Sus scrofa: one gene and its partners. The protein of the gene in region 1 interacts with the protein of each later gene in a pairwise test. Links are inferred from orthologs where the notes say so. Each region holds a gene or a part of one and is shown on either strand. Other genes may lie near its edges.

Evidence for each region.
Region 2: the proteins of TRIM69 (region 1) and NEK8 interact in binary tests that used the Homo sapiens proteins (3 or more experiments, as listed by UniProt). The two-hybrid records come from large-scale screens. The link is inferred for Sus scrofa from reciprocal best matches to the Homo sapiens genes TRIM69 and NEK8.
Region 3: the proteins of TRIM69 (region 1) and FKBP1B interact in binary tests that used the Homo sapiens proteins (3 or more experiments, as listed by UniProt). The two-hybrid records come from large-scale screens. The link is inferred for Sus scrofa from reciprocal best matches to the Homo sapiens genes TRIM69 and FKBP1B.

Annotation. Positions count from the first base shown.
Region 1 is NC_010443.5:126,775,210-126,778,631, forward strand, and holds the end of TRIM69 (E3 ubiquitin-protein ligase TRIM69), read right to left. Parts: intron 1,197-3,422; coding exon 655-1,196; 3' UTR 647-654; downstream 1-646.
Region 2 is NC_010454.4:44,961,896-44,965,644, reverse strand, and holds the start of NEK8 (serine/threonine-protein kinase Nek8), read right to left. Parts: upstream 2,551-3,749; 5' UTR 1,816-2,550; intron 796-1,815; exon of another isoform or gene 548-795; 5' UTR 459-547; coding exon 412-458; intron 1-411. Other genes in the region: TLCD1 (calfacilitin), read left to right, coding at 2,822-3,015, 3,325-3,580. UniProt on the Homo sapiens protein: Required for renal tubular integrity. May regulate local cytoskeletal structure in kidney tubule epithelial cells. May regulate ciliary biogenesis through targeting of proteins to the cilia.
Region 3 is NC_010445.4:114,632,059-114,635,807, forward strand, and holds the start of FKBP1B (peptidyl-prolyl cis-trans isomerase FKBP1B), read right to left. Parts: upstream 2,612-3,749; 5' UTR 2,462-2,611; coding exon 2,425-2,461; intron 1-2,424. UniProt on the Homo sapiens protein: Has the potential to contribute to the immunosuppressive and toxic effects of FK506 and rapamycin. PPIases accelerate the folding of proteins. It catalyzes the cis-trans isomerization of proline imidic peptide bonds in oligopeptides.

The DNA of each region.
Region 1 (3,422 bases):
TTAGGAGTTCCCAACGTGGCACTGCAGAAACGAATCCGGCTAGGAAGCATGAGATTGCGGGTTCAATCCCTGGACTCAGTGGGTTAAGGATCTGGCGTTGCCATGAGCTATGGTATAGGTCGAAGACGCAGCTTGGATCTGGCGTTGCTGTGGCTGTGGCAAAGGCCAGTGGCTATAGCTCCGATTAGACTCCTAGCCTGGAAACCTATACGCTGCAGGTGCCGCCCTAAAAGGACAAAGAGACAAAAAAATTTTTACGTTAAAAGATAAGGGGAACACATCTAAAAATGAATCTATTAAGAATAATTATGTTGGAGAATAAGGATAGCATGATAGAATTTCTAAACAAGTTTGTACAGGCTTCCTGAGCATTGCAAACTCAAGTTGCATTTTGCCCTAGTAATAATAGATTACTATGATGGTCACACTCCTGAGAGTGTCTCCTGTGTCATAGTAGACCTCTGAGAATTAGAACTACATCTTGAAAAGCTCCAGTGAAATCCACTTAGCACACTGAGTATGAAATTCCATTTGTGAATCCTCTTTTCATTATTTTAGAGTTCCCCATGAATTGGGAAGAGAAACCAGCGAGACTGGTAAACTATTTTAATACCTCTTTAATATTGCTCCGAATTTATACAACAGTATGACAAATTACTGTGGATGTACGATATGCAATGGTTCTTTATTCTCTCCGCCATCATTAAGGCAAGGACAGAAGTAGGGATAAAGTTTCTCCATGAAAGTGCTACTGAAGGTGTAAATGTGGTTCATAGTTTTAGCATTGTAGAAGGATACTTGCCCTCCCTCATAATCCAGGTATATGCCCACCTTGTTGAGGTTGTTATTCAGTTTCAGACTGCAAGAAGGCAAATCTAGAGCCTTTAGATCAGTTTGGTTCCTTAGTCGTAAAAGCCAGAATCCTTGCTCAGGAGTTAGAGGACAGCTGCCCTTCCGAAGAATGGATTCTCTGACAACTCCAACTGTCCATTTTGTCTTCTTTGCTACTTCTACTTCCCAGTACCATTTTCCAGATGTGAAGCCTTTAGAGCCCAGCACAGCCACACTTGAGTCAAACCTCTCTGGATCATCAGGCATTACCTGCTTAATGTCACCATGCCACACACTGGTTCGGTTTTTGGAGAGCACGAGATTTGGGTGAGCAGTTTTAGGGTCCAGTGTTAATGGAGACAGGCCTAGTAAGACAAGAAGAGAAAGCAGGGCATGGGGGTAAAGGGATGAATGCAGGTTCCCATAGACACCAGTGCTTTATCTCCCTAGGCACATATACATTTAGATTAGCAGGTTATTACTTATATACTTTATATTGTTTTGATATCTATGTGGCTATATTCTATATATTTTTACAATGGTAAAAATCAGACTTTACTCTGAAGTAACATATGCTTTAATAAAAATACAAATAACATAAATCTATGCTGATAAATATAAGAAAATATGAATACTGGAAGGGTAAAGATTAGGTAAATGGACCCTAGGAAAGTTATCTAAGGGCAATAAGCACCTCAGTTTTGATATAACATCTTTAAGATGTATCAGGATGCTTTGGGTAAACAGAGACAAAAACAGAATGTGTTAAAAAACGGTACCTTGTGTTAAAGAGAAGATAAGGGCTTTCTTGTTAGAGGCAAGTGAGACTGAGCTAACTGGTACAGAATTTTTAAGACCATGGCGAGAAGTTTATATTTGGTTCAATAGACAGTGAAACGTTTGAGGTCTGAATGCTTAATGCTACTGATAATCAGAATGTGGTTTACAAATGGTTTAATTACCAGTCTGAGGCAAGATATTTTAGAAATTGAGAGTAAGCTCTTAGAAACTTATACTTTTTTTTTCTTTTCAGAAACATATGACTTATTTACATGTTCATGCAACAAACATTTATTAAGTGTCTAAATGTAAGCCCATTTCCTGTGTTAGGTAATGGAAATACAGAGATCAGATACATCTTATATTCATAATGCCCAAACTTTGTGGAGAAATGGGTATGTGAACAATTACAACGGTGTAATACTATGATAGAGGTATATAGAGAGTAACTGCTGAACATAAAGGAAGGATATCTATTTTAAGGGTAGTGTCAAGTAAAAGTAAAGGTCTTCTAGGATGAAGTAAAAAGTAAGCTGATATAAAAGTAAAAATAGAATTATCTAGGTGAAAAAGGAGAAAGATATTCCAGGCAAAAGGAAAGCAAATACACAAACAAGAAAAAGGGTGCACAATATTTTCAAGAGCTGCAGGTACCTTAGCAAGGCTGAAACACAGGGTTATATGGCAGATGATGGCAAGAGATAAGGGTATAAAGGTAGGCAGAGGTCTGATTATGAAGACTTGGTATATCAGGCTAAGGAAGAAACTTACACTTTGACAGAGTAATTTTTTTTTTTTTTTTTTTTTTTTTTTTTACCTTGTCCATAGTATGTGGAAGTTCCTGGGCCAGTTCCTTCGACCCTAACCATGGCAGTGACAACACCATACCCTTAACCTGCTGTACAAGGGAACTTCTGACAGAATAATTTTTATGTCAGTTGATTTAGTTAAAAAACTGGGCTTGTACTTTGTAATCTTTTTTTTTAATTCCACTTTTTCAAGTAATTAACTTGTATTCTATAAACATGACAGGTTGAGATTTAAAAAACTGGTCCTTCATCACAGGTAATTTAGACAAATCAATGGGCAGCAGTATAAAAAAGAATTTCTAAATGAAGATAGGTTGGAAGTGTATCAGCAGCACAAAGTGACACAAATTCTAGATGTGAGATAATTGAGTCTTGGCACAAAATTTGCTAAAGGAAATACAAAAACTATGCGTGTTCACATCATAGACACATATACAAATATGCATACATTTGTTTTAATGGATTTATTTATCCTTGGAAAAAAAAGATCAAACCAGTCCATCTCTCTCATCTGAGAAAAGCCTAAGTCTTTCCATCATCCCAAGGATTTTTTTTTTTCTTTCCAACAGGAGACTTGAAGAATCCTGAAATTTTCCCATATAGGCTGAATCTTCTCTCTCACATAAATCCTCATCCACCTTGGGTTGTCACTCTTTCCAATGTGAGAACTAGGATTTCTTTGGAGGTACTGAAAAGAATTCCTGTCAACTTTTCTTTAGAACCCCAGCCTGATACTAAGCCTCTGACATATCCACCTAGCTCAGTCTGCCCTGGCTCTGAATATTCCTAAGAGTCAGCTGTGTGTCCCCTCTTTTTTTCTTATGCCCTGTTCAGTCCAACAGTAAGTTCTACCAGCTCCACTTTTAAAATACATTTTAAGCCTACTCCAAATATATAGACAAACAACTTTCACCACTGACTTAGAACTACTACAATAGCTTTTTAACTATTCTCTTTCCAGTCTTGCCTGTCTTCAGCCTATTCTGTGCATAGCATGAATAA
Region 2 (3,749 bases), on another chromosome or scaffold:
TTCTCACAGGCAGTTTGTTGATCACTGCTTTAACAATGTCCTGTTTATTTTCTAATTTTCCGTTAGTCTGTAAGCTCGGAGAGGGAAAAGACCACGCCTCTTTTGGGCTTAGCTGTGTGCACAGCACCAAGATCCTGACGTGTATAGTTGCCGCTCAATATTTGTTGAATGAATGAATCAGGATAGAGCAACAGAACTCTGCGGGGGCGCAGAGAAGAGCCAGGGGCGTGACCTCCTTGGAGGCGGAGTTTCCCATCCAGGACCGGGACCGGAAGCCTGGGCGGGGCTTCTCGTAGAGGGCGCTAACGCTTCGGGGCGGGGCTGAGCAGGCAACGATTTCGCGCTTAGCGATTTCGCGGGGCTTATTTTCCCTCTCCCGTAGCAATTTCCTCCCCCAGAGCCCTGGCTCACCCGAAGGCACCTCTCCCCACCACTCGGATCCGCTCGTACTTCTCCATCTCATTTTTCAGAGTCACATTTCCGGAATCCTCAAGCCCAGGCGCGGCGCTTGCGCGAACCCGCCTTCTCTAGAGCCACGCCTCCTGCTCTGCAAGATAATTACGGGGCGGAGCCGGGGGAGTTGGGTGTTGGTTCAGCCTCTCATCTGCTTTGGCTGTTTTGCAGGGTTCCTGTGGCCGGGATCCGCAGTCGCCCTTCCAGGGTCCAAGGAATGGAGTAATACGCTGTTTTGGGGGGCGCGCTCCGCAAAGGCCAACACAGCACCAGCCACCTCCCACACACGCATCTCGCCCTCGCAAAGCTTTCTTAGACTGGAGGGGTTCCCTGCGCACGCCGAATGAGGGTTGGAGGCGAGGACCGATCTCGCTCCGCATCCCTCTTTGCAAACTAGTGACTGCTTCGAAGGATAGGGCAGATTCTCACTGGCATGCAAACGATAGACACTACCAAAATTGAACCGAGAGAGTCAGCGCTCTCGGTCTGTGGGGCAGGGTGCAGGGTTAGTTTCGTGTTTGCCTAGGGAGGAACCGGGGAAATCCCGAGCTGTGCAAGTTGATTCGACTAGGCAGAAGGTGACACTGCTGTCAAGACTGAGCCCTGCGCTTGTCAACACCAACTCCCCAACGCACACACACAGCGCTGCCGCTGCCGCAGGGAAATCTGCCTTCAATACTCAACTAGGGAGAACTTCCTTGGGGGAAAATGGGAGGGAACGGGACTACCACCTGAAGGCATCCAGGCGGGAGAGGAGGAAAGAATCATTCGCCTGATATGGGTTCAAATCTTCTGCCCAGAGGTGGGGGGCTGGTTAGTAGTACAATAGTCTAAGATCTTGGCCGGAAGTGAGTTTAATTCCAGGTGTCTACCCACCGCCTTCTGCCCTTCATGACCTCTATAAAATCTCAGTTAAGGTAGCAGGAAGGACGATGATTAGCTAAGGGATAGCGTCCCTATTTCTGAGTGGGTGAGGAACGTGAGGAAAGGGGTGTTTATCTTCTGTTCCCACCCTGGCCCTTGAAAGGGTACCCAAAACTACCCACGTGGAATGACCACTGGAAAGGCCCCATGAGGGCCTGTTGGTAGCTGGCTCAGGCCAGGGTGTCCGGCGGACAAAGCTGCCCTGTGAGCAGAGGAGGGCAAGGGGGAAAGCCACTCAGCTGGGACACTCCGTGTTCTCACCTAGAAACTGATCAGGCCTTGGTTGACCCGGAGCCCCAGAGAGGTTAATGTGTAACCTTGGAGCCATCAGGGGAGGCAGAGCAAACACCCAAACCTCTTGGCGCCTCAGGCTTCTGGTTTTCCCTCACTCTCAGAGCAGCCCCCCACCCCCGCTCCAACTACTCCCTTCTCTTTTACCTCCGCCCTTTCGTTCGCTGAGTCTGGTTAACTCTTGGGCAAAAACACCACCTCCTTCCTTGTACGCCGGGAGGGGATCCCACGCCGCGTGAGGACAGGCTGTCACCTAGCGGTCGTGAGTTGCAACTGCTCCAGGCCACTGGCCGGCAAAGTGAGGGTCACCCTGGTGGCCTGGGCACATCGGCCGTCTTCCCCGCTCCGGCCTCCAGGAAGCGGGGAGAAGAGAGCTGGGACTGTCTGAGGGAGGACTGTGACTGCCGCGCGGCCCCAGGAGCCCAAGAGCCGGCTGGGAGGAGGGGTGGTGATAGGTTAGTCGACAGATTCTAGGCAGTGACTTGGGCGGGATGAGGTAGAGGCAGGTAAACGTGTTCGACTCTGGCCTGAAGATGCTAGCGGAAAAATACGGTCTGAGAGATCATCGTCGGATACGGGGCACCGGCTGGTCCCCAGGTTTAGGGATTTAAAAGACGTGGGTGCGTGACGGGTCCCGCCCAGCTTTGCGGGTAAAGGAGGTAAGGGAGGAGAGAGTTCTCTCAGGGCCCGCCCAGGCAGGGGAGCTGGGACGCCAGGGGATTTGGGTTAACCAGGCCAGGCGAGCGAAGCGGGACTCCGTCGGCAGTCGGGAGGCGCCAGCGAGGGGTGGCTTGGCGGTGGCGGCCCCAGGACAGCCTCTTTTGCCCAAAGTCCGCGGGAGCCTGGCGGGGCCTGGGGGGCCTGAGGGGAAATGGGGCTCTCGCCCTCCGCGCTGCGGAGGCGCCGGAGGGGCGGGGACAGGAGGGCGGGGCGGGGCGGGGGCGCGGGTGGTTGGGGGCGGGGGCAGAGGCCGGACGGGAAGGGACGGGAGGAGCGAAGGGGGCCTACAGGGCTCCGCGGAGACAGTGTGTGTGAGGCTGGCGGCCGCCAGGAAAGGCGTCGGGGGTGGACCAGCCCAAAAGAAAGTCCCTTTCCCGAACTGCCGGAGGAGGCGGCCTAGAGGGCGAACAGACAGAAGGCAGGGAGGGTCAGCATGCCCCCAATGCTGCTCCCCGCCCTGCCGCTGCTCCTGGGCGCCACGCTGACCTTCCGGGCGCTCCGGCACGCGCTCTGTCGCCTGGCCCTACCGGCGCACGTGCGCGCCGACCCCCTGCGCACCTGGCGCTGGCACAACCTGCTCGTCTCCTTCGCCCATTCCATTGTGTCAGGGACCTGGGCGCTGCTGTGGTGAGTGAAGGACTGGGGGAGTGAAGGCGGCTAGGGGATCCCGCATTACTCTTCCCATCACTCATTGGCGGGCTGAGGCCCAGGCAGTCTCACCTGATTCCCGGTTTAGAATGCTGTCCAACCAGGAGCGGCTGCAGCCCCAGGGGAGGGGGGTTCTCACCTGGGAAACGGCGAACACCTGGGTTTCAGCCAAGCCCCTCCTCGCTCCCGGTCAGCCAATAGCACCAGCCCAGACTCCCCGGGCACTGGCATGGTTGTGGGTCCTTGGGGATACCGAGTGAAGCGCCTGCCTTCTTCCCTCCCATCCAGTATATGGCAGACCCCGGAGATGCTGGTAGAGATTGAAACAGCATGGTCGCTTTCTGGCTATCTGCTCGTTTGTTTCTCTGCAGGTAGGTCTTGCTTCGTATTAAGTAGTTGGGAGGGACAGGAATGTTTCTTGCTCAGTCCCGTTTATGACCTCTTCCCCATCCCTCGGCTAGGGTATTTCATCCACGACACGGTGGATATCGTGGTTAGTCATCAATCACGGGCTTCTTGGGAATACCTTGTCCATCACGTCATGGTAAGTGAGCAGGGGATGTGGAATAGGCCTGGTGCTAGCAACCTAATCTAAGCCTTTTTGAATCTGGGAGATAACCCCACCCAGGGGCCTATGGTCTAATGCTAGAATGCTGAGGGTTGGTAGTCTCTGTACCCTTGCTTCACTACTTGAGGCCAGCAATCGTGGCCTC
Region 3 (3,749 bases), on another chromosome or scaffold:
GAAGAGTAAAATAGACTGGAGATATATTTTAGAATTGGAGCTGACAGGGCATGCTAATGGCGTGGAGATGGGGTGCATGATGAGGGAGGAGGAGAAAACAAGCACAATGCCTAGGGATTAGATTTGAGCGAATGGAAGGACGGAGGAGCTGATTCCTGAGATGGGAAGACTAAGGAGGAACAGATTTGTGAGGGTGGCAATCTTGAGATGTCTATTAGACATCTGAGTTTGTACTGCAAGGAGGCAGATGGAGAGTCTGCACTAGAGATAAAATTTGGGTAGAATTTAAAGCCATAGGGCTGGATAGCAAAAACTTGGGAGGGCTAACAGCTGAGCCAACAGTTACATGGGGACCCAGAGGAGGGAGCAACTGGGAGTGTCAGGGAATGTATCAGAAAGGAGATAATGGTTAACTGGGTCTTAAAAGATGAGTAGTTTGCCAGAGGAAGGGAGATAATTTGGGAAAAGTTCAAAGGCCTTGGGTTGAACAGTAGTGGGAGCCTGTCTGGTTCCCTGCTACAAACCTAGGGCCCAGCACACAGTATATGCTCAATAAATATTTGCTGAATGACTAGTGTGTTTAACAACTTGCAGACAGCTTGATAAAGCTAGAGAAAGTCAGTGGTGGGGGGAGGGACTGATGGTAAGAGATGAGGCTGTAGCGTGGAAGGTAACAGGAGGCCATATGACTGTCTGCCTGGAAAAGGAGAAGGAAGGGTCATTAAAAATGTTATGCCCAGGGAGGGGCATGGTCAAAGATGCATTTTTAAACAATCCTCAGGCTGTGGTGAGGAAAACGGCGGGGTGGGCTGGGAGGCCAGGTGGAAGGCCAGGAGGTGAGACTGGAGATGAGACTAGTTTAGAGACTGCACAGAAATCTAGATGAGAGATGATGGTGGCCTGAACTAGGGCAGGGGTTAAGGAGATGGAGCCTTGAGATATTCAGCAGGAGAATTTAGCAGGATTGCTGTGGGCCTGACAAAGACCAGCATCCCTGGCATGGCAGCTTAGCTGCTGAAATATTAATTGGTACCTTCTCCCTTCTAGGTTACAGCACGGTAGCTGGCCCTTGTGTGCTTCCTTGACTCAGGGGTTTAGAATGAGCTAAAAGCAGAAAGCCAAAGCTCCTCCAGGCTTTGCCTAAAAATCTGATCCTTTTCAAGAAAAAATCCCACCTGTCCCTCGCCAGGGAGGGAGGATAGGGAGAGAAAACTCTAAAGGTTTCTTGAGCCAGGGAAGGAAGAAGAGGTCTCCAGACTCGAGGTAGAACTCTATGGCAGTTCCCGGGGGGTGTGATAGGGCCTTAAGGAGATAAGCACAGAAAAAGAAGCCTGTAGCCCATTGGTGAACCAAGGATGTGGCTGGGACTTCTAGGGACCACTATTTTTCAATAAGGAAGGTGGCCTGGAACCGAGTTACCTCAACTTTTCTGGGGGTATAGGGATGCCAGTAATGTCTGAGGTGCAGTCTGTCTGTCAAATCCTGCTGCGGCAGCAGTCTGACTTACGGTTGCTTTAAAAAAAATAAAGAAATAGCTACTCCTTGCTCATCCAGACTCGATTACACAAGGGTGATGCCTGGAATGTCTGGCTTGGGAAAGTAAGTGGTGCCAATCCCGTGGCAGGAAAGAGAGAACAGAGAGGAGAGCCTGGGAGTGGGGAAGACAAGGAGCATGAGTTCGGCGTTGGACTTGCCGACTTTCAGGGATCCATGGGACATCCAGATAGAGGCTGAGCAGCAGCTGGATAAAGGGACTACCGTGAACTCAGATTGGAGGTCTGGGCTAGAGGCTTAAGTTTGGAGGCCATTGGGTTGCAGCCCATAATGAAAGCAATGTGAGTGAACAGGATGGCCAGAGAGGCTGAGTGGGGCAGAGAGGATAAAGCAAGATGCAGAGGCAGCGGGGAAAGTGCTCCTCCCTTTCCAGACTGGCTCGACCCCCACAACGCCTCACCACCCAGATCCCAGGGACCGCCGGATCAGAGGCCCGGCGGCGAGGGCGTTAGAAGGGGGCTGCCCCAAGCAGAAGAGACCCCAAACATGTTCTTTCCCCTGTTTCCAGAGCTCACTCAGCAGGACAGGGAAGGCGGAGCTAAAACGCGGCCCTGGGAAATCAGCAGTAGCGGATAACCGAGCGGTTCCAGCCGCGCCAGGAGCAGCCTGAGGCCCTCGGGGCGGTGGCGGGCCGCAGACCCCAGCCTCCCAGCCGCAGCCTTCGTTCCTCTAGGTGAGCAGACGCGGAAGGGGATGGCGAAGGATGTCTGCTAGACCCCGAGCAGTTCTGTCTGGGGTCTTCTCTCGCCGCCCCCATCCTAGGCCCGCTTCCCCTGTTCAGCACCCTCCGCGCCACCTCGGAATCTGCCCCCCGCCCGCCGGGCTCCGCCCCGAGACCCCTCCTCCTCCCCCGGCTCCGCCACCCGGTACCGTCTCCCGGGGAAATGGTCTCGATCTCCACGCCCATCGCGGTCCCACTGGCCCCGCCTCCGAGGGTCCCTGCTGTTGCCCCGACCCCGGCTCGGCTCCGGCCCTGGCCCGCTGGCGCTCCGGCTCGCCTCCCCCGCCGCCACTGCAGAGTCGGAGGAGGTGCGGCTGGAGTCGGGACCTGCGCGGGGAGGGGCCACCGGGAAGGGGGCGGCGGGGCGGAGCGGCGCGGAAAGGTGGGGTCGACCAGGGCGGGGCCCCGGGGAAGGGACCCTGACGCGGCTGCTCGGCAGCTTGACCAGGCTAATGTGCTTTAACCCACCGACTGGGGAGAATGTCGAAGGAAGCAAGCAGATACTAGCACATCCACCCACCCATCCATCCATCCACCCATCCAGCTATCTATCCATCTATCCATTTATGCATCCATCTGTTTAACACATGTTTATCTAGCACCTACTCTGTGTTAAGCTCCGGGAGTCAACCCGGTCTCATAGACTGGAGGGGGAGGGGAAAGGTTGGCAACAAACCAACATTTTAATTAGACATGTTCACTGCCGTAGAATTCAGAACGTTATGGAAGGACCAGAGAGGATGGTCCCATCTAGGCTGTAGGGACAAGCTGGGGGCTGGGGACTGGGGGTGGGGGGGAGAAGAAACCAATCATTACTGACCTTTCCCCACCCACCCTAAACCCCCATTCTCCATCTCGAATAATTCTGACCCACGCATAGGTGGGTTCCCACCTTTCAAGACCGAGAACTGTGCCCTGGGGATACCAACTGAATTAAGACAGAATCGCTTCCTTGAAGAATTGAATCTGTGACAGATGGAGACACACACAGTTACAGCGTGGAGTGATTCGTGCTGTGGGATGAATGAATGAATGATGAGTAAGTTGTACCTTGAGCTCCTCCTCCACGCTGGGCCCTTCACCTCCACCCATAGGAGATCCAGGAATCCGGAAATATTATTTTTTGGAGGAGGTAGCATTTGCTTGACAAATGTATTGGACTTTAAATTTTCTCCCGCCCCCCCATTCTTCTCTGCACTGTTGCAGAAATTAACATGACAGCGACAAGTGGCGCTGGAAGATAAACAGGAGGAGAAAAGCCTGAGCAAATCAGATGTGGGCCCTAGAGGTATTGTTCTTCCACATATCCCCTCCCCAACTCTCCCAGATGGTTAGGGCAGAGACGTCAGGTTATCAGCATCCCTGAAGGAGGACTGCCAGTGTTGTTCAAGAAACATGATGGTCAACTGTACTGTGAGAGTCAGGATCTGAATTTCCAAAGTGTGGCCCAGAATCTCCCAGGGAATCTCCTTGA